4 linked regions of the Mus musculus genome follow. The protein of the gene in region 1 interacts with the protein of each later gene in a pairwise test. Links are inferred from orthologs where the notes say so. Each region holds a gene or a part of one and is shown in the gene's direction. Other genes may lie near its edges. The genes, in order: Ddit3, Fosl2, Dbp and Cebpa.

Region 1 (4,323 bases):
AAAGATGAAAGTCGCGACTTGCCCTGCCCCGCCCCAAAGGCTTCCCGGGTAGTGTGCAGAGACTTGACCCGCCTCTCCAGGTCAACATGTCACAACACGACCTCAGCCTGTCAAGTCACATGACCTCTGCCTGTCACTGACAACCTGGTCTGTCTTTAGGCCAGGAGAGACCATCTGGTCCAACCCACCCCCCACCTCTACTAACAGAAGGGGAAATGAAGGTCTGGAGCGAAGGAGCAGTCTGGCCAAGGACCTGTCACCGTCGCACCATCCAATAGCAACCGGTCTTGGTTCAGTTTCTACTTAAACTCTGGCTTGCCCCTCTTGAGTCTACGACAGACTATGTAATAGGCCACCACATGGCCTCTGTTTTCATGGCACAAAAAAAAAAAAATACGTTTTGCAAGATGTTTTTACTTTTACTCAAGTTTTCTCCACAGAGCTGCTTTTTACCTTTATCGTTGTTTAATTTACAAATGAGTAAGGTAGAATCCTTGGACAAATTAAACTAGAATCTGTGTTTCCTCTGATGACCCAGTCCAGGGCAATCATGCGTTCAAGTGCATGCACGTCCCAGGCTCTACTGTAGGTCGTGAACTCAGACAGCTAGAGGCAGGAGGCCAGCTCCTCAGCAGGGAGTCACAGGACTCGCTATCTCGGAGAAGGAAGAGGGTGGATACTGGGCTTAGTGAAGGGCGTAAGAGCATCACACAAAGCAGGGGTGGGATGAGGAGGAGGCAGCAATCTACACTCTGTAAAGAACTTCAATCCTAGCACGTAATGGACGATTCAGAAACAAGCGTTAAAGGTGCCTCTCTGAGAGAAGCGGGTGGACTATCAAGGAACTCAGTCTTTGGGACGCATTAGAAGGCTAAAAGAGGAGGAGAGCTCTTAAAAGATTCGAGGAGATGTCAATCCAGGTGAACAAATTGGAAACTTTAAAGAGGTTCCAGAGCCCCGGTGCCCATTAGCTGGGAGGGGCCAGGGAAAATGGGAGCCTTTCATGGAGGAGTAAGTTAAAGGTGATGGGAGGTGGGCAGACAAGTTCAGGAAGGACAGCCGTTGGGGCCGTTGGACACTGGGAGCTGGCGCTCCGCCCTCTTTCCTCTCTCCCCCATAGCCCCCCTCCCGCACCTCCCACCACCATCGACGTCCCCTGCGCGTGCGCGCGCGGACACCGGTTGCCAAACATTGCATCATCCCCGCCCCCCCATCCCCTCCCTCGCCGCGCTCTCCTCCGCGCGCGCGCATGACTCACTCACCTCCTCCGCGAAGCCGCGTGACCCAAAGCCACTTCCGGGTCCGAGACAACGTAGACTCTCAAGCCAGAGGGCGCGATGGGGGTGGGGCCGTGAGACTCCTGAGTGGCGGATGTAAGGGATGAGGCGGAGCCAGTGCCAGCGTGCCGCTTTCTGATTGGTAGGCTCCTGGACCCTGCCCCCCCCCCAGGAGGGGCCGGACAGCATAAAGGATACTCGCTCTCCGCTCTTGAGGTCAGTTATCTTGAGCCTAACACGTCGATTATATCATGTTGAAGATGAGCGGGTGGCAGCGACAGAGCCAGAATAACAGCCGGAACCTGAGGAGAGAGGCGAGTACTGGCTCCGTCTAACCCTTACCTTCCCATCCTGGCCAGCATAGCTATTTTATAAAGTTGGAGACAACTGTTCTGGAGGATGTAGCCCCACCCCTTCCACTGTAAGCTTGTAGACTGGGAAGGGTGAAGGCCGGGAATCCCTGATTCAGGAATGGTGCTTACAGGCCCTCTCTTGCATTGGGCGATTGCATTCCCGTTCCCTTGTCTCGAGTTGGTCCCCACTCTGCAGAGGGACTCCGGTTGCCTTCGGGAACTTGTCTCTGTAGTGCGAACTGCGGGCCAGCTTAGGCCTGGGCAGTTCGCAGGAAAGGCGGGGCAGCAGGACACACCCCCAAAGTCGGGGACTCTGGCTGTCTCAGCCTTTTCTTCACCAGCCTCATTCCCCCCAACTCTTTCAAGCTGAAGCGCCTCAGTCAAGGGGCCAACATGGCCACGTTAGTAGCTGACTCTCAAGTTCAAGAGAACGCGAAGACTGACAGATCTTTGCGAGTGGGGGTGCTGGTGGGAGGAGCATAGATGGGTTTTTCCCTTTTCCCCAGAGGTTTCTAGGTTTCCATACAAGAGAGCAGCCTGGATCTCTTTAACTATGGGAAATTATTTGGGATCTCTCCAGGGTCTTCTGCTTCTCCCAGGGCTGATTGATCTCTGCTTCTTTCCTCAGTCCCGTCTCCTAACTAAACTGTGTAACCATTGCGTCAGGCCAGCCCACTGTTTGTCTCTGCACCCTCAGGCCTGGGGCTCCTCTGCTGATGAAAGCCAGGTCCCACACACTGGAAGACCAAGGGAGTTTTCCCTAGAGGACAACCCTGCAGAGAAACACTCAGGGCAATATTGCATCTGCAGTCCCCAGAGACAGCCAGCTCCGCTCTGCCTTTAGGCTCAGTGGGCTTAATTCTCTATAAGGGAACTTGGGGGAGGGGCTTTTTCCCCATTCATTCCTAACAAATGCCTAATAAGCACCCACTATGTACCAAGTATCTGGGGACCCAGGGTATATTAGGAGCAAAAGATAAAACTGTTCTCAATAAAACTTACATTTCAGTATAAAGCAAAAGGGAAAAAAAAAACAAAAGCAGGGCAGAATAGTTCAGGGCGGTGACTAGAGGTTGTCATCAGAAGCCAAGCCTGTGAGCCAAGCCCCGGTGTTAGAGCTTTATAGAAGGGAGAGGCTGAGCAACAGAGTTAAGATAAGCATGCCATGCCGGTATCTTTAGGAACAGGACTAGAGTAAGCAGGAGAGGGTGATGAAAGGAAACTCAAGCAGCCGGTCTCATAGAGCCTTGCAAGCACCCTCATGATGCTAATCTTTAACAATCATGAAACAGGAAGCCATTGGGGGATCTGAGCAGAGGAATGATCATAGCACATGCATTTAATTCCAGCACTCAGAGAGGCAGATCTCTGAGCTCCAGGCCAGCCAGGGCTACATTATGAGACCCTGACTCAAAATAAATACAAAAACAAAGGGTTAGGTATGTAGCTCAATAGTACACTGCTTGCCTGGTATGTAGAGGACCCTAGGTCAACCCACAGCCGTGAAAATAAAGTAAAAGACAAGAATAGAAACAGGAGGTCTCAGCTGAACATAGTGGCACAGCCTTTAATCCCAGCACTTGAAAGGCAGGCAGATCTAAATTCAAAGCCAGAGAGTCTACAAAGCAAGTTCCAGGACAGCAAAAGCTACATAGTGAGACCCTGTCTAAAAGAGAAAGAAAGGAAAGGAAAGGAAGAAAGAAAGGAGAGATTTCAAAGAGGCTTCCAAAATAATCCAGGGAAAGAAATGTATGGTAAATTTATATCTGGAGCCAGGCAGTGGTGGTGCACGCCTTTAATCCCAGCATTTGGGAGACAGAGACAGGCGGATTTCTGAATTCGAGGCCAGCCTTGTCCACAGTGAGTTCCAGGACAGCCAAGGCTACACAGAGAAACCCTGTCAAGAAAAACCAAAAAAATAAATAAATGAAAAATAAAAAATTGCATCTGGAAATAATGTAGTAATGAGAAATACTTAGGTTTGGGGTACTTTTAAAGTTGTCAGTGCTTTAGGCTGAGCTGTGGTATCTGAGAAAGGGGCATCAAGGATACCAAAGTTTTTGGCTTTCAGCACCTAGAGTTGCCATTTAGTAAGAACTATACAGCCTTGGTAGGAAAGGCCTTTCATGTAAGCTGAACGCCTGCTCAACACTGCCAAGGAGCTGGAGATCCCAGAGCAGGTCTGCACTGAGGCTGCCAGTGGGGGGATGGAATCTGAGCAAGCACTGCTGAGTTTACTCTTCCTTCCCTCTAGTTCTGTCTCCCTTTGGCGGACTTGAGGTCTATCTGGGATTTAGAGAAAACTTAGTTGGCCAGGACTTTGCTATTATGTAATCAAGACGGCAAATGTCAGCAACTAAAAATAAAGTTAAGCCTGCCTCTGTCCTTGGAGTTGGCTTCAGGGACACACACGCTGCAAGACACACGCCTGTGTGTGTGTGTGTATTACAAGAGAAGAAATGGCTTCAGGGACACACCCGCTGCAAGACACACACACCTCTGTATGTGTGTGTGTGTATTACAAGAGAAGAACTGGAGCCTGGTCTGCAGAGTTGTTGAGTTCCAGAATTCCAGGATGCCCAGGGATGCACAAAGAAACCATCTCACAACCCATTTTAGAAAGGATCTAGAAAAGGGCTAGGAGGAGTTAGAAAGGATCTAGAGAGGGGCTAGGAGGAGTTAGAAAGGATCTA
Region 2 (4,242 bases), on another chromosome or scaffold:
CCGCAGGGTGGCGCGGGTGCCCGGTGCGCCCAGGACGCCCGCTGTACCGGGCGGCGCCGCTGAGGGTGCGGACGACTGCGCACGGCCGCGCCCTCCCCGCGAGCAGCTCTGCGCGCCGGGCTCTCTGCCTCGCGGTGGCGCCGCACTGAGCCGCCCGTCTCGTCTTCAGGGCTGCGATTTTTTTTTTTTTTTTTTTTTTTTCCTTTTCTAAAACCCGGAGCCCAGGCCGGCGCGGCCGCTTTCGGGGCCCCGCCCCGCGCCCCTTCCTTTTGGTTGGGGATGGAGGGGAGGAGGTAGGGAGGCCAGGGCGCAGGCGGGAGCAGGCGAGGGAATCCCTCTCCCTCCACGTCACCCGAAGGCGAGGAAACCCGCATTCGCGTCCTCTAACGCAAATGACCATCTTTGGCAACGTGCGCCAATGGAACAGACCAAGGGCGCTGCGCCCCAGGGGGGGTGGAGGAGTTCGGCGAGAACGCGGGCGGCCTCGGCGCCCCCGTAGTGCGAGGGCCGCGCTCTCCCACCCTCCCCGCCTCCCGCCTTCCTCGCGCGGGGTCTGTGGCTGGCGTCAGCGCGACCGCGAGCGAGGCCGGGAGGGGAGCGCCCCGCCCGCCTTCTCCCCTCCCCTCCCGCGCCTCTTCCTCCTCCTCCTTGTCCCAGGCCTCCTCCCCCGCCGCCTCGAGCGCTCCTCCCAGCAAGGTGGAGTCTAAGGTTGACGTGAGTGGATCCACATGGTGCGGGGCTGGAGAATAAAGAGTGTGGAGTTGAACTCGTGCCATTGTAGTGACTCATCTCGGGCAGAGCGCAGGGGCTCGAAGCGAGACAGTGAGCGGCGCTCGGCAGGGACAGAGAGAGAGAAAGAGAGCGAGCGCAAGAAAGAGGGGGAGAGAGGGGAGGGCGAAGCGAGGCGAGAAGCGCGAGGCTTGGCAGGTCCTGGAGCCAGCACGGGGTGCAGGTCACTGCGACGCGGAGCCACGTCCCTCTCAGCACCGCTCAGCCTAGAATCCCACGGGCGCTGTCCCACCGGCGCGATCGGGGCCGCTGGACCGGCGCTCACCGCCTTGTCCTAAGTCAAGTGTCCGAGTCGCCGGGAAACTCAGGCGGCGAGTTGGCCACAGGAAGTTTATTCTCGGGCTCCTTTTCTAAAAGGAGGAAACAGAAGTTTCTCCCAACCGGCAGCTTTTCTTTTTCGCCTTTTTGGCGCCCTGAGAGATCGGGGAGGGAGTCCCCCAGAGCTGCCAAGCGACACCCGCGGGGCTCCTAGTCTTTTTGCGTTGCCCATTTTTCTCCAGCCCGTGGGTCCCGGCAGAGCTCCGGCTGCGCGCGGGGGCGGAAGGGCGCGCGCAGGGGAGGGACCGAGGGACGCGCCGACTTTTTAGAGGGAGGGACTCGGTGGACAACCGGTTCCGCGGAGCTTGCAGAGCAGAAACGAAGTGCGGTGCGCGGCGATCGGGGGGGTCACTTCCCGAGTGTCGCTGCCTCCTGTCTGCCTTGGTTAGGGGACATCCCGGGAGCGAAAAGCCCAGCCCGTGGCCGGGCCGGTGGACCAGCGAGCGCGCAGCAGACTGTGCGCGGCCGCGGCGAGGGCGGGGAAGAAAACCACCCTGTTTCCTCTCCGGCCCCCACCGCGGATCATGTACCAGGATTATCCCGGGAACTTTGACACCTCGTCCCGGGGCAGCAGCGGCTCTCCTGCGCACGCCGAGTCCTACTCCAGCGGTGGCGGCGGCCAGCAGGTACGTGCGGGCCGGGGTGCACCTGGCGGCGCGGGCAGACTCCTACCCTCTTCTTGCTCCCACTGCCTCCACCCCCAACCTCCTTCTTTTCCCTTTCCTAGCCAGGCTAGAAAAATACTTCACCGCTGTAAGTTGTGGGTTTCTTTTCTTTTCTTTTTCTTTTTTTTTTTCCTGTTCCGCCCTACCCACTCTCCACTTTTCTTTTTCTTTTTCTTTTCTTTTCTTTTCTTTTTTTTTAAGCAAGTGGAGAGTGGGCTTGAAGAGCCAACGACACCCTCTCCCCCTTTTCGTACTTAATTTTCCAGAAAAGCTCTTGAAATTACAGGTCCCCTCCGGGAAGCCTGTTGCCTCCTTCCGAGCCGCTCTCCCTCCCTTTTCACGTTCCTCTTTCTAGGTAGTGGATAGGCAAGAAAATTTTTGCGCCCCCTAAGCCCCTCCCAGCCGTCAAGGACCCTACGGGGGGGGGCGGGGGGGAAGGCTTTTTAACCCTTTCTTCTTCTGTTATTCTTCGGTCTTAGCTGTTTTCTGAAAGGGATTGGGGACTCAAAAACAAAGCTGGGCTCCTTCAAGTGTTTGGGAGTGAGGGCGAGGGTTGCCCCTGGGAATTAGGTGCGAAGGTCAGGAAGGAAGAAGCTGGCTTTGATTGGCTCTTGACACCTCCTGTGACACCCCCCCTCCAGCTTCCGGTAAGGGTTGGGCAGGAGCCTGTACTTCCCCCCCCCCCCAGCAGAACTTTGAGGGGCTTGGGGGTACCTGGGGCAAAGAAGCTGTCAGAGAGAAGTGGGAGAAAGAGACACATCGCTTGAGCTCCTGAGTGGATTTAGAAGTAGAAAAACATCTCTTTCTAAAGCAGCCAGACTGGTTTGCACTGAAGGATTGTGCCTGTAATCTGTGTCTTTGTAGGTACCAGACAGGTATTGGTGGGGCGGTAGGGGTGGTAGGGTACCTGGCCTGTGTCGCAGGAACCACAAACACCATCTTGTGAGGGAATTGCATGAACTCAAAAGGTCCTCTGCCACCTGAAGCCCACCTTGGCAAGCATCTGGGAGTTCCTAGCCAAGCTGGCTGCAGCCAGAGTTACTCCATAAGCCAATAGCCATGGCCTTGACTTTGACCTTTAGAAGTCAACCAGATAGGAGGTCAGGGGTCTTCCAGGGAAGGGTGGAGTGAGCTGGGAAATATAATAAAAATATGGCTTTCTTTGTAATCTGACAAGAGGGGCACCTCTCTCAAAGTAATGTTCCATATCTGGGGAGTCCTTCTAAATGACTTTTCTGTGTCTAGCTCCTCCCAAGCCCCATACCTACTAAGCACCCACTGTAGACAGCCTGGTCTGAGCATTGAGGGTCCAGTCAGTGGACCCTTTCTTACTACTGAACACCCAAATCATACCTGAGAAGTAGTCGCTTATGTTTGCATCCCAGTACATTTGGTGTTTTGGGTTGAACCCAAACATCACTCATCAATGGGTTTAGAGTCCTTTATACCTGTTGTCCCCTACTTTCCAATCCAATAACCCCACCCCATGTACCTCTCCTTTCCAACCAACATAGAAGCTTTGCGTTTCTGTTTCTTCCACTAATGAGACCAAGACAGTGAGCACTGACAGTACAATCTCCCTGCCTGGCTTTGCTCAGACTCTGGGGCCTGGATGGGAAGTCAGACCGGACATCAGTGCCCCAACTGAATAATCTGTGTCACTAGGGCTTTGAGCCCAGGATGTGAGCGGAGGCAATTCCCTGTTTTGGAAGCAAATCAGACAGGAAACCGATGCTCGGATGAAGGAAGAGAGCTCCGTCCAGCAGTGTGTAATAGGGCCTCATTACCCAAGCAAAAAGCAGCTGTTGGCTAATTCCTAGCATGCTGTAACACAGGAGGATTTTGCAATTAGCAGCAACCAGTGCATGCGATTCTCAGGTATAGCTGCCTATTCTGCTCAGCCTTATGAGCAAGAAGTCTTTCAAACCAGAGGGATTGGCAAGGTAATGCCACTTAAGCCAACTCTCAGCCTTGTCGGGGCGGTGGGTAGGAGACGAGGAACAGGGGGAAGGCTTCCCCCTCCCTGATCTGGCTGTCTATAAAACTGTTCTGTGGTCCCAGTGATAGGCCTCTGTTTTTGTTACTTCCCAAGTCTGTGCTGCTACCCCACCCCAATCTGGGCTCAAGGTAACTTTATTACATGCCAGATAAAGTCTGTAATCAGCTCTGCTCCCAGCCCTCTACATGGGGAAGCTTTCCTGGCAGTTAGTGACTGGGCCTTCCTCCTTTATGACTGCACGGTGGACCAATCCAATCAGTGGAACTTGTGAGAAGTTCCTGGTTTTCCTTGTGCAAGTGCATACTATTTTCCCCCTGTTCTCCTTGTTTGTGGGGTCCTGTATCCCCATAAATTTGCTGTCTGGCACTCCCCCCCCGACCCCCCCCCCCGCGACATCTAGCTTCATAAGGTCTTAATACTGCGTCTTAGTACTAAGTACCTAGTACTTCCCCACTGACCTGTGGGGTGGGA
Region 3 (4,033 bases), on another chromosome or scaffold:
ACCCTGTTTTCCTTGTGGTACAATTACATACTGGTCCATGCCCTCTGCCTACTGTTACTTGCCAAGATGGTACGGTCCAGGTCACCTGTTTACAAATGGTATGACCCTACTTAGAGCTGTAGTCTTTCTGCTATTCCCTTTCTGAGAATCAGCGTGGTACAATCCCTCTGTCTTTCTTACTGCCACTGTGGCTCGGCCCCGGGAAATCGGTTAGTTTCTTGTCTGGTTTCTCAACATGGTACAGCCCAGAAGACCATATCCTCTCCATGTACCTTTATGCAAACCAGCCTATTCTGCACGTCCCATGTGGCCTTCTTCCCTCCCTACATGGTCTGGTCCAGGAGCTGATCATTCCCCCAACTTGGTATATTCCATTCCCCCTTAGCAGCCTGACTAGTAGAGTCCTATGTGCTCAGCTCCCACACCCCTCAAGCCGGTGCTTCCCTTTGCAGTGGACGGTGGTCCTCACGGTCGCTGAGACTCCCCAACGAGGATTACGCCCGCCTGTTCTGAGTTTCCTCACCAGGGGAGGGGATTCACCCCAAAACAAAGCTATTAAAAGGACTGAATGTTTCCGGTTTCTCGGTGGTTTATCAGTCGCGATTGAGGAACATCTAGATATTAAAAAAAAAAAATCCTTCCCGAAGCCCACTTCTTTCTGCCTTAATCTGCTCTAATTGATGTTCTGCTTTTTTTCCTCAATGAGTCTGTGAACACTCGGCTCCTTTAAGAGGTACCCCTCTTGCCCCACACCCGCATCCGATAGCACGCGCAAAGCCATGTGCTTCCCCCTTCTTCCTGCCTCATTGGCCCGAAGTGGGTCACGGTCCCGCCTCCAGCGCCTCCTCCCATTGGCCAAATATAGGTCAGTGTCCCGCCTTCTTCCAAAAGGCGAGGCAACTACACAAGTTCAGCCCCTCACGCGCCTCCAGGGTCTTGGCATATCCCTTCATCTCATTGGCTGAGCGTCTCAAGGGCTCGAGACGTGATTGGTTCTTGCCAGAAGCCGGAGGAAGGCACGCGGCTGGGGTGCATGGCCCAAGTGGAGGGAGGGGGCCCGGAGGAGGGGCGCGCGCTCTGGCGTCCGGTGTTTTGGTTTAGATTTTTTTTTTTCCGCGAAAGAAGTTTGCTTTGGCCACGCCTCAAGGCTGCCACCTCCTCCTGCCCCCTCCTCCGCCCCTGGGTGCACACCTCTGGGTGCAGATTGCAAAGCTCCTTTCTTTGCGAGAAGTGCAAAATTGGCTAGAGCCAGAGACTCGCCCACTTGGTACAGAAGGAGCGCGCGCCTGTGTCCCTTGGGGACCCACAGTTGCAAAGAGACAGCTGCTTGATTTGGTCACCCACTCGCCCAGACTATAGGAGCCTCCCGGGACAGTCTTTGAGTTGCACCTTTCTGCAGAACTGACTGGTTGAACCCCCGCAGCGCTCTTAGGATTTGAAGCGTCCTGATCCTGGAGGCTTGCACGCCGCGCTCTCCCGACTCTGGGACACATTCGCCCGAACCACTGGAGTGTGCGGGTGACTGACATATCATCTCATCTCTTCGACTCTCCATGAGCTCATGAACCTGGGAGCAGGTCCACGGCAATGGCGCGGCCTCTGAGCGACAGGACCCCGGGCCCCCTGCTGCTGGGTGGCCCGGCTGGGGCCCCCCCTGGCGGGGGAGCGCTGCTTGGGCTGAGGAGCCTTCTGCAGGGAAACAGCAAGCCCAAAGAACCGGCCAGCTGTGAGTTCTAGTCCCACTGTGTTAGGGACTCAACTGTTGGGGTGGTGGTCCACGGCACCTATCAGCTAGGTGTCCCATCTTTGCTAGTCTTCATTAGGTCACTTAGGTCTTCCAGTCCATCAGCCTCCAGGACCAAATCTGACGCCTGGAGGGCCTAAGGGTCAAGTCCCTGGAGTGTTCCTACTTGAGGACAGAGTTTAGGTGCCAGACCCCTCTTTCTTTCCTTTGGCCTCAGAGTCTGGACCCCTGGAGTCCTAGGGGAAGGGAGGGGGTGTGTCGGATGCTCACACGGTGCAGACACGGGCTTGGGCGGGGCCTCGCAGGGTCACATGGAAACTAGGGATGAGGAATGTGCCTGAGCAGTGGAGCCCCTTCCAGCCCCAACAGACTGTGGGGGAGGGGATGAGGGTGCTGGGGGTGGGAGAATTACTGAGCTGTCACTTTTTCTTTCTCACCTGCCCAACCTTTCACCCACCCTGTCACTAAACCCTTCTTTCTAAACTTCCATCCTCGTTCTCTGGGTCGCTTGTGCTTGTGTTTCTTAATCCCCTCCCGGGCCCCTAACCCTATCCTTCTGTATACTTTTGCCTTTTCCCCCTCTCCGGGTCCCCGTCTCCCTGACCCTCTATTGCTGGGGCCTTGTTCTCTTTTCTCTCTGGGTCTCCCCAAGCCCCGTCTTTATCCCTCTCTTCTTTTTCTGGGTTCTCTCCCTGCCTGTACCCACCTCCCTGGGTCTTTGCCCTACGGCTCCCGTCTCCTCACTTCTCTGTATCTCCGCCATATCTCTAACTTGGGGTCCCTCCTGTGTCCCTCCACCCCATCCGGTCTCTCCCTGGCCTACAGGTCTCCTGAAGGAAAAGGAGCGCAAGGCAACTCTGCCCTCAGCCCCCGTCCCGGGACCCGGCCTGGAAACGGCGGGCCCAGCCGATGCCCCGAGTGGGGCCGTTAGTGGCGGTGGGTCCCCTCGGGGGCGCTCAGGGCCTGTGGCTGGCCCGAGTCTTTTTGCGCCGCTGCTGTGGGAACGCACTTTGCCTTTCGGGGACGTGGAATACGTGGACCTGGACGCCTTCTTGCTGGAGCACGGGCTACCGCCGAGCCCGCCGCCCCCCGGGGGCCTGTCGCCGGCACCCTCTCCAGCGCGCACTCCCGCGCCCTCCCCCGGGCCCGGCTCTTGCAGCTCCTCTTCCCCCCGCTCCTCGCCCGGGCACGCCCCCGCGCGGGCCACTCTGGGAGCCGCCGGCGGCCACCGCGCAGGTGCGGCGAAGGGGCGGGGCTGTCGGGCAGGGCGGGGCCTCGCGACACTTTTGGAAGTCTGCCCAATGAGATGCTGCGATCCTTTAGGGGACTTGGGTCCCCAAATGCGAAAGGATTATTCACTGAGAGGCAGTATTCTTCTCTAAGACAAGTTTCCTCATGTTCTTGGAGCCAAGACTAGAAACTTAGAACACCTTAGTTAACTGGAGAGTACTATCTCCAGAGTCTGGGTCCAGAATTTTGGGAAACGAGATGGGACTGGACTTCAAGGACACCAAAAATGGGAGCGAGCAGGCCAGAGCGGGGTACTACGTTCCCGGATCCTACACACGCACACACCCCATTCCCCAAGTGGATGGTGTTGCATCCTGCCTCCCAGTCTTGCAGAAGAGAATATCGGGATCCCTCTTCTGGCTTCTACAGAGGAGCTTTCCCATGTCCCTGTGTTGGGGACCTAGGATCTCAGAACTGTGGGAATCTGGATGGCAAAGAGCTTGGCAGGCCGGTTCTCCCACGATCCTCCCCCATAGCGCGGGATGGGTGGGTAGAATCATTGTAGATGTTGGAGCTGAGACCAAAAGGAACAAGAAGGGAGGCGACCCCAATCAAGACAAGGAGTCTCGATGTGGGACGCCTGGGTACACCTGTCCCTGATCCGACCTCCAGGCAAAAACCAGTGCTGCACATTCCCTCGCCACGTGAGTCCGCCTTCCTAGCTGCGCGCACGCGCTCTCACGCGCGAGGAGGCGGGGCCGGGAACGTGCGGGTGCTTGGTTGGGGAGGAGGGGAAAGGGGAAGCTGTAGGCCACACGTGATGCGGCCCTGAACTGGTGTCCTCGGCTGACCCGGGCTTATTTGTTCTTAAAGACACAGGACTCAACCTTTTTTAGCCAGGCTCTTGAAACTTCCATCACTCCTAGGAGTGCTGGTCTAACAGGTCTAAGCTCTGAGAAAGGGTTCAGTAAGTAGGACTCGGACACAGCAGTGGGAACAAAACACTGAGTCTGAAGTTTAGAGGTTTTAGAAGATTCACGGGATATTTAAGGCCAGTCA
Region 4 (4,287 bases), on another chromosome or scaffold:
GTTTTTAGCCGCTCCTCTTGGAGCCTCCTGGGCGGATCGCAGGGCCTTTCCTGGCCTAAAAAGGCCATTGCACTGGGGGTCTTGACCTGCGACCCTAGAGCGCAGCAGGTCACGGAACACGGACAAATGGAGTTCGAGAGGACGAAAGGCCTCAGCTCAAGAAGCCGCGGTCTTCGGGGTGCAAAAACGAGAGACGTGGGTGCTCACCAGGCCCCTTCTGCCCCCGGACCTCCGCGGCCGCGATCCAGGTGGAGGGTGAACGAGACGCCACGTGGCTGGGAGCCGATGCACGCAAACTCCTACCCACAGCCGCGAGCCTGTAGGCGGCGCGGCGCGGAGGGCTCCCAAGTGGGTGCTCGAAAGGCTTCGTAGCTAGGAATTGGACACCCGAGCTACCGAGATTAGTGCCCCCATGAATGACAGTAGGGAAAGAAAACTGTGTCTTCAGGCCCCTGGCTATGGGCCCCGCCTGGGGATCACAGTCCCCGATTCAAGTTCACTCCTCTCCAACACCCTGCCCTCTCGCGGCCCCTGTGCGCTCTCCTTAGGGTCCTTTTCCGCGAGGCTCAGAGGACCCACCGGCTGGTCCCGGGCGTGGGGTGGTGGTGTCCCGAACACTTGACTAGAGTGCTCCACGCTGGGTAGCAACGTCTGCCTGGTAAGCCTAGCAATCCTATCGCTCTGGCCTGGAGACGCAATGAAAAAGAAAGTTTTCCAGCCTAGGCGAGTGGACGAGCCAGGTCCACCAGGCTCCGGGGTTAGCGGCCGCCTCCGCTCCCCGCCGGGTCCTAGCGCCCTACTACTCTGAAGAGCCCGTGGGACCCTGTAGTTCTAGAGAAGCTGGGCGAAAGAGAGGTGCTCTGCCTGGAAGCCGTGGGGTCGCGTGGAGTTCAGAGAAAAAGACGCACAATCTCTGCGCTCCCGGCCTCGCCACTCGGCGGTGCGCGCTAGGTTGCTGGTCCAAAGCAGTCTCCAACCTCCCGCGCCGCGGCTCTCCGCCACAGCCTTTTAGAAATCCGGGTGGGAGACAGGCCTAGTCCCAGCTTTTAACACAAGTCTGCACTACGGTAGCTCAAAACCAACATTCTCTCTCCAAACGCTCCCCAACCTCCACCTCCCCTCGCTCGGCCTCTAGATGCTCCCGGGCTCCCTAGTGTTGGCTGGAAGTGGGTGACTTAGAGGCTTAAAGGAGGGGCGCCTAACCACGGACCACGTGTGTGCGGGGGCGACAGCGCCGCCGGGGTGGGGCTGAGCGCTGCAAGCCGGGTTCGCCTTGCAGCGCAGGAGTCAGTGGGCGTTGCGCCACGATCTCTCTCCACTAGCACTATGCTCCCCACTCACCGCCTTGGAAAGTCACAGGAGAAGGCGGGCTCTAAGACCCAGCAGGCACCATCCTACTGGCGCCTTCGATCCGAGACCCGTTTGGACACCAGGGGGCGATGCCCGACCCTCTATAAAAGCGGTCCCCGCGCGGGCCTGGCCATTCGCGACCCGAAGCTGCGCGGGCGCGAGCCAGTTGGGGCACTGGGTGGGCGGCGGCGACAGCGGCGCCACGCGCAGGCTGGAGGCCGCCGAGGCTCGCCATGCCGGGAGAACTCTAACTCCCCCATGGAGTCGGCCGACTTCTACGAGGTGGAGCCGCGGCCCCCGATGAGCAGTCACCTCCAGAGCCCCCCGCACGCGCCCAGCAACGCCGCCTTTGGCTTTCCCCGGGGCGCGGGCCCCGCGCCGCCCCCAGCCCCACCTGCCGCCCCGGAGCCGCTGGGCGGCATCTGCGAGCACGAGACGTCTATAGACATCAGCGCCTACATCGACCCGGCCGCCTTCAACGACGAGTTCCTGGCCGACCTCTTCCAGCACAGCCGACAGCAGGAGAAGGCCAAGGCGGCGGCGGGCCCCGCGGGTGGCGGCGGTGACTTTGACTACCCGGGAGCCCCGGCGGGCCCCGGCGGCGCGGTCATGTCCGCGGGGGCGCACGGGCCCCCTCCCGGCTACGGCTGTGCGGCGGCCGGCTACCTGGACGGCAGGCTGGAGCCCCTGTACGAGCGCGTCGGGGCGCCCGCGCTACGGCCGCTGGTGATCAAACAAGAGCCCCGCGAGGAGGACGAGGCGAAGCAGCTGGCGCTGGCCGGCCTCTTCCCCTACCAGCCACCGCCGCCACCGCCACCGCCGCACCCGCACGCGTCTCCCGCGCACCTGGCCGCCCCCCACTTGCAGTTCCAGATCGCGCACTGCGGCCAGACCACCATGCACCTGCAGCCTGGCCACCCCACACCGCCGCCCACGCCCGTGCCCAGCCCGCACGCTGCGCCCGCCTTGGGTGCTGCGGGCCTGCCTGGCCCCGGGAGCGCGCTCAAGGGCTTGGCCGGTGCGCACCCCGACCTCCGCACGGGAGGCGGCGGCGGTGGCAGCGGTGCCGGTGCGGGCAAAGCCAAGAAGTCGGTGGACAAGAACAGCAACGAGTACCGGGTACGGCGGGAACGCAACAACATCGCGGTGCGCAAGAGCCGAGATAAAGCCAAACAACGCAACGTGGAGACGCAACAGAAGGTGCTGGAGTTGACCAGTGACAATGACCGCCTGCGCAAGCGGGTGGAACAGCTGAGCCGTGAACTGGACACGCTGCGGGGCATCTTCCGCCAGCTGCCTGAGAGCTCCTTGGTCAAGGCCATGGGCAACTGCGCGTGAGGCGCGCGGCTGCGGGACCGCCTTGGGCCGGCCCCCTGGCTGGAGACCCAGAGGATGGTTTCGGGTCGCTGGATCTCTAGGCTGCCCGGGCCGCGCAAGCCAGGACTAGGAGATTCCGGTGTGGCCTGAAAGCCTGGCCTGCTCCGCGTGTCCCCTCCCTTCCTCTGAGCCGGACTCGGTGCGTCTAAGATGAGGGAGTCAGGCCGTGGTGGTTTCTCCTTGAGACCGAGAGACTTTCCGCGGAGCTGAGCTGGGGGCCCGGCAGTACTAGTATTAAGGAAGTAACCTTGTGCCTTGGATACTCAAAACTCGCTCCTTTTCCTACCGAGTAGGGGGAGCAAAAATGTGCCTTGATATTTTATTTGGAGGATTCCTGCTTCCTCTCGGGCCTCAGCTGGCCCCGTGAGAAAAATGAAGGGTGCAGGCCCAGGGCAGGAGGAAGATACAGGAAGCTGAGATCCCGGCAGTGCCCTGAGCTGCCCCTCAGTCCCTGTCTTTAGAGGGGAGGGACTTAGGTGTTGGGGATTTGAGTCTGTGTCCTCACCCCCAGCTACAGGGAGGTGGAGGGCTCCTAATCCCTTGCTTTTTGCACCTCCACCTACATCCCCCCCCCCCCACTCAGCTTACAACAGGCCAGGTTTCCTGGGTGAGTTCATGGAGAATGGGGGCACCACCCCCAGTCAGACCAGAAAGCTGAGTTGTGAGTTAGCCATGTGGTAGGAGACAGAGACCTAGGTTTCTGGGCTTTGTGGGGTGGGGGATAGGAGGACACGGGGACCATTAGCCTTGTGTGTACTGTATGTCGCCAGCCGCTGTTGCTGAAGGAACTTGAAGCACAATCGATCCATCCCAGAGGGACTGGAGTTATGACAAGCTTCCCAAATATTTTGCTTTATCATCCGATATCAACACTTGTATCTGGTCTCTGTGTCCCAGCGGTGCCTTGTGCAATGGCAGTGTGCACGTCTATGCTAAACCACCATTTTATTTGGTCTTTTGTTTTGTTTTGGTTTTGCTCTGATTCTTGCCAAACTGAGACTCTTCACTAACGGCTGGGGGAAGGAGCTGAGTGAGGCTCTCATTCTTTTTGGTTTAGGGATGTTTGGGTTTTTTCGTCTGCCTCCCAGAGGACCAATGAAATGAAGTGGGCTTCCCCCTCTCCCCTAGTTGTCCAAGGGTGTATGTAGTAGTGGGTCTTAGCTTCCTCCGGCTAAGACTTAGGCTTCCCCACCCACCCAACCCCATCCCCAACGGCCCTGGCTCTGGGTCTGGAAAGAAGGCCACCTCCAGCCAGTTCATACACACACCCCTGTGGCTGGGAGCAGGGCTGGACCGCTTCCTTCTCTTCTTTTTTTTGGGGGGGGGGGACACAAAGTTTCATGCTAGATGTCGTATGTATTATATCTATAATATAAACATATCAAACTCAATTTTGGTGTCTTTTTAAAACCAGAGAGAAGCCACTTGTAAGGTTTGCTCTGGGCTGGGTTCCGTTTGAAACAGCATTGTCTGTGTCTGGGGTCCTAAATTTGCATCTCTGGAGTCTCTCTTTACCTTGGTGATGTGCCATGGCAGTCAAGGAAGGGGTAAGGACTAAGC

The links.
Region 2: the proteins of Ddit3 (region 1) and Fosl2 interact in binary tests that used the Homo sapiens proteins (3 or more experiments, as listed by UniProt). The two-hybrid records come from large-scale screens. The link is inferred for Mus musculus from reciprocal best matches to the Homo sapiens genes DDIT3 and FOSL2.
Region 3: the proteins of Ddit3 (region 1) and Dbp interact in binary tests that used the Homo sapiens proteins (3 or more experiments, as listed by UniProt). The link is inferred for Mus musculus from reciprocal best matches to the Homo sapiens genes DDIT3 and DBP.
Region 4: the proteins of Ddit3 (region 1) and Cebpa interact in binary tests that used the Homo sapiens proteins (3 or more experiments, as listed by UniProt). The link is inferred for Mus musculus from reciprocal best matches to the Homo sapiens genes DDIT3 and CEBPA.

What each region holds. Positions count from the first base shown.
Region 1 is NC_000076.6:127,289,301-127,293,623, forward strand, and holds the start of Ddit3 (DNA damage-inducible transcript 3 protein), read left to right. Parts: upstream 1-1,492; 5' UTR 1,493-1,591; exon of another isoform or gene 1,592-1,698; intron 1,699-4,323. UniProt on the Homo sapiens protein: Multifunctional transcription factor in endoplasmic reticulum (ER) stress response. Plays an essential role in the response to a wide variety of cell stresses and induces cell cycle arrest and apoptosis in response to ER stress.
Region 2 is NC_000071.6:32,135,073-32,139,314, forward strand, and holds the start of Fosl2 (fos-related antigen 2), read left to right. Parts: upstream 1-1,399; 5' UTR 1,400-1,631; coding exon 1,632-1,733; intron 1,734-4,242.
Region 3 is NC_000073.6:45,704,037-45,708,069, forward strand, and holds the start of Dbp (D site-binding protein), read left to right. Parts: upstream 1-1,210; 5' UTR 1,211-1,587; coding exon 1,588-1,726; intron 1,727-2,569; coding exon 2,570-2,980; exon of another isoform or gene 2,981-3,539; coding exon of another isoform or gene 3,540-3,678; intron 3,679-4,033. UniProt on the Homo sapiens protein: This transcriptional activator recognizes and binds to the sequence 5'-RTTAYGTAAY-3' found in the promoter of genes such as albumin, CYP2A4 and CYP2A5. It is not essential for circadian rhythm generation, but modulates important clock output genes.
Region 4 is NC_000073.6:35,117,811-35,122,097, forward strand, and holds Cebpa (CCAAT/enhancer-binding protein alpha), read left to right. Parts: upstream 1-1,482; 5' UTR 1,483-1,497; coding exon of another isoform or gene 1,498-1,608; coding exon 1,609-2,688; 3' UTR 2,689-4,118; downstream 4,119-4,287. UniProt on the Homo sapiens protein: Transcription factor that coordinates proliferation arrest and the differentiation of myeloid progenitors, adipocytes, hepatocytes, and cells of the lung and the placenta.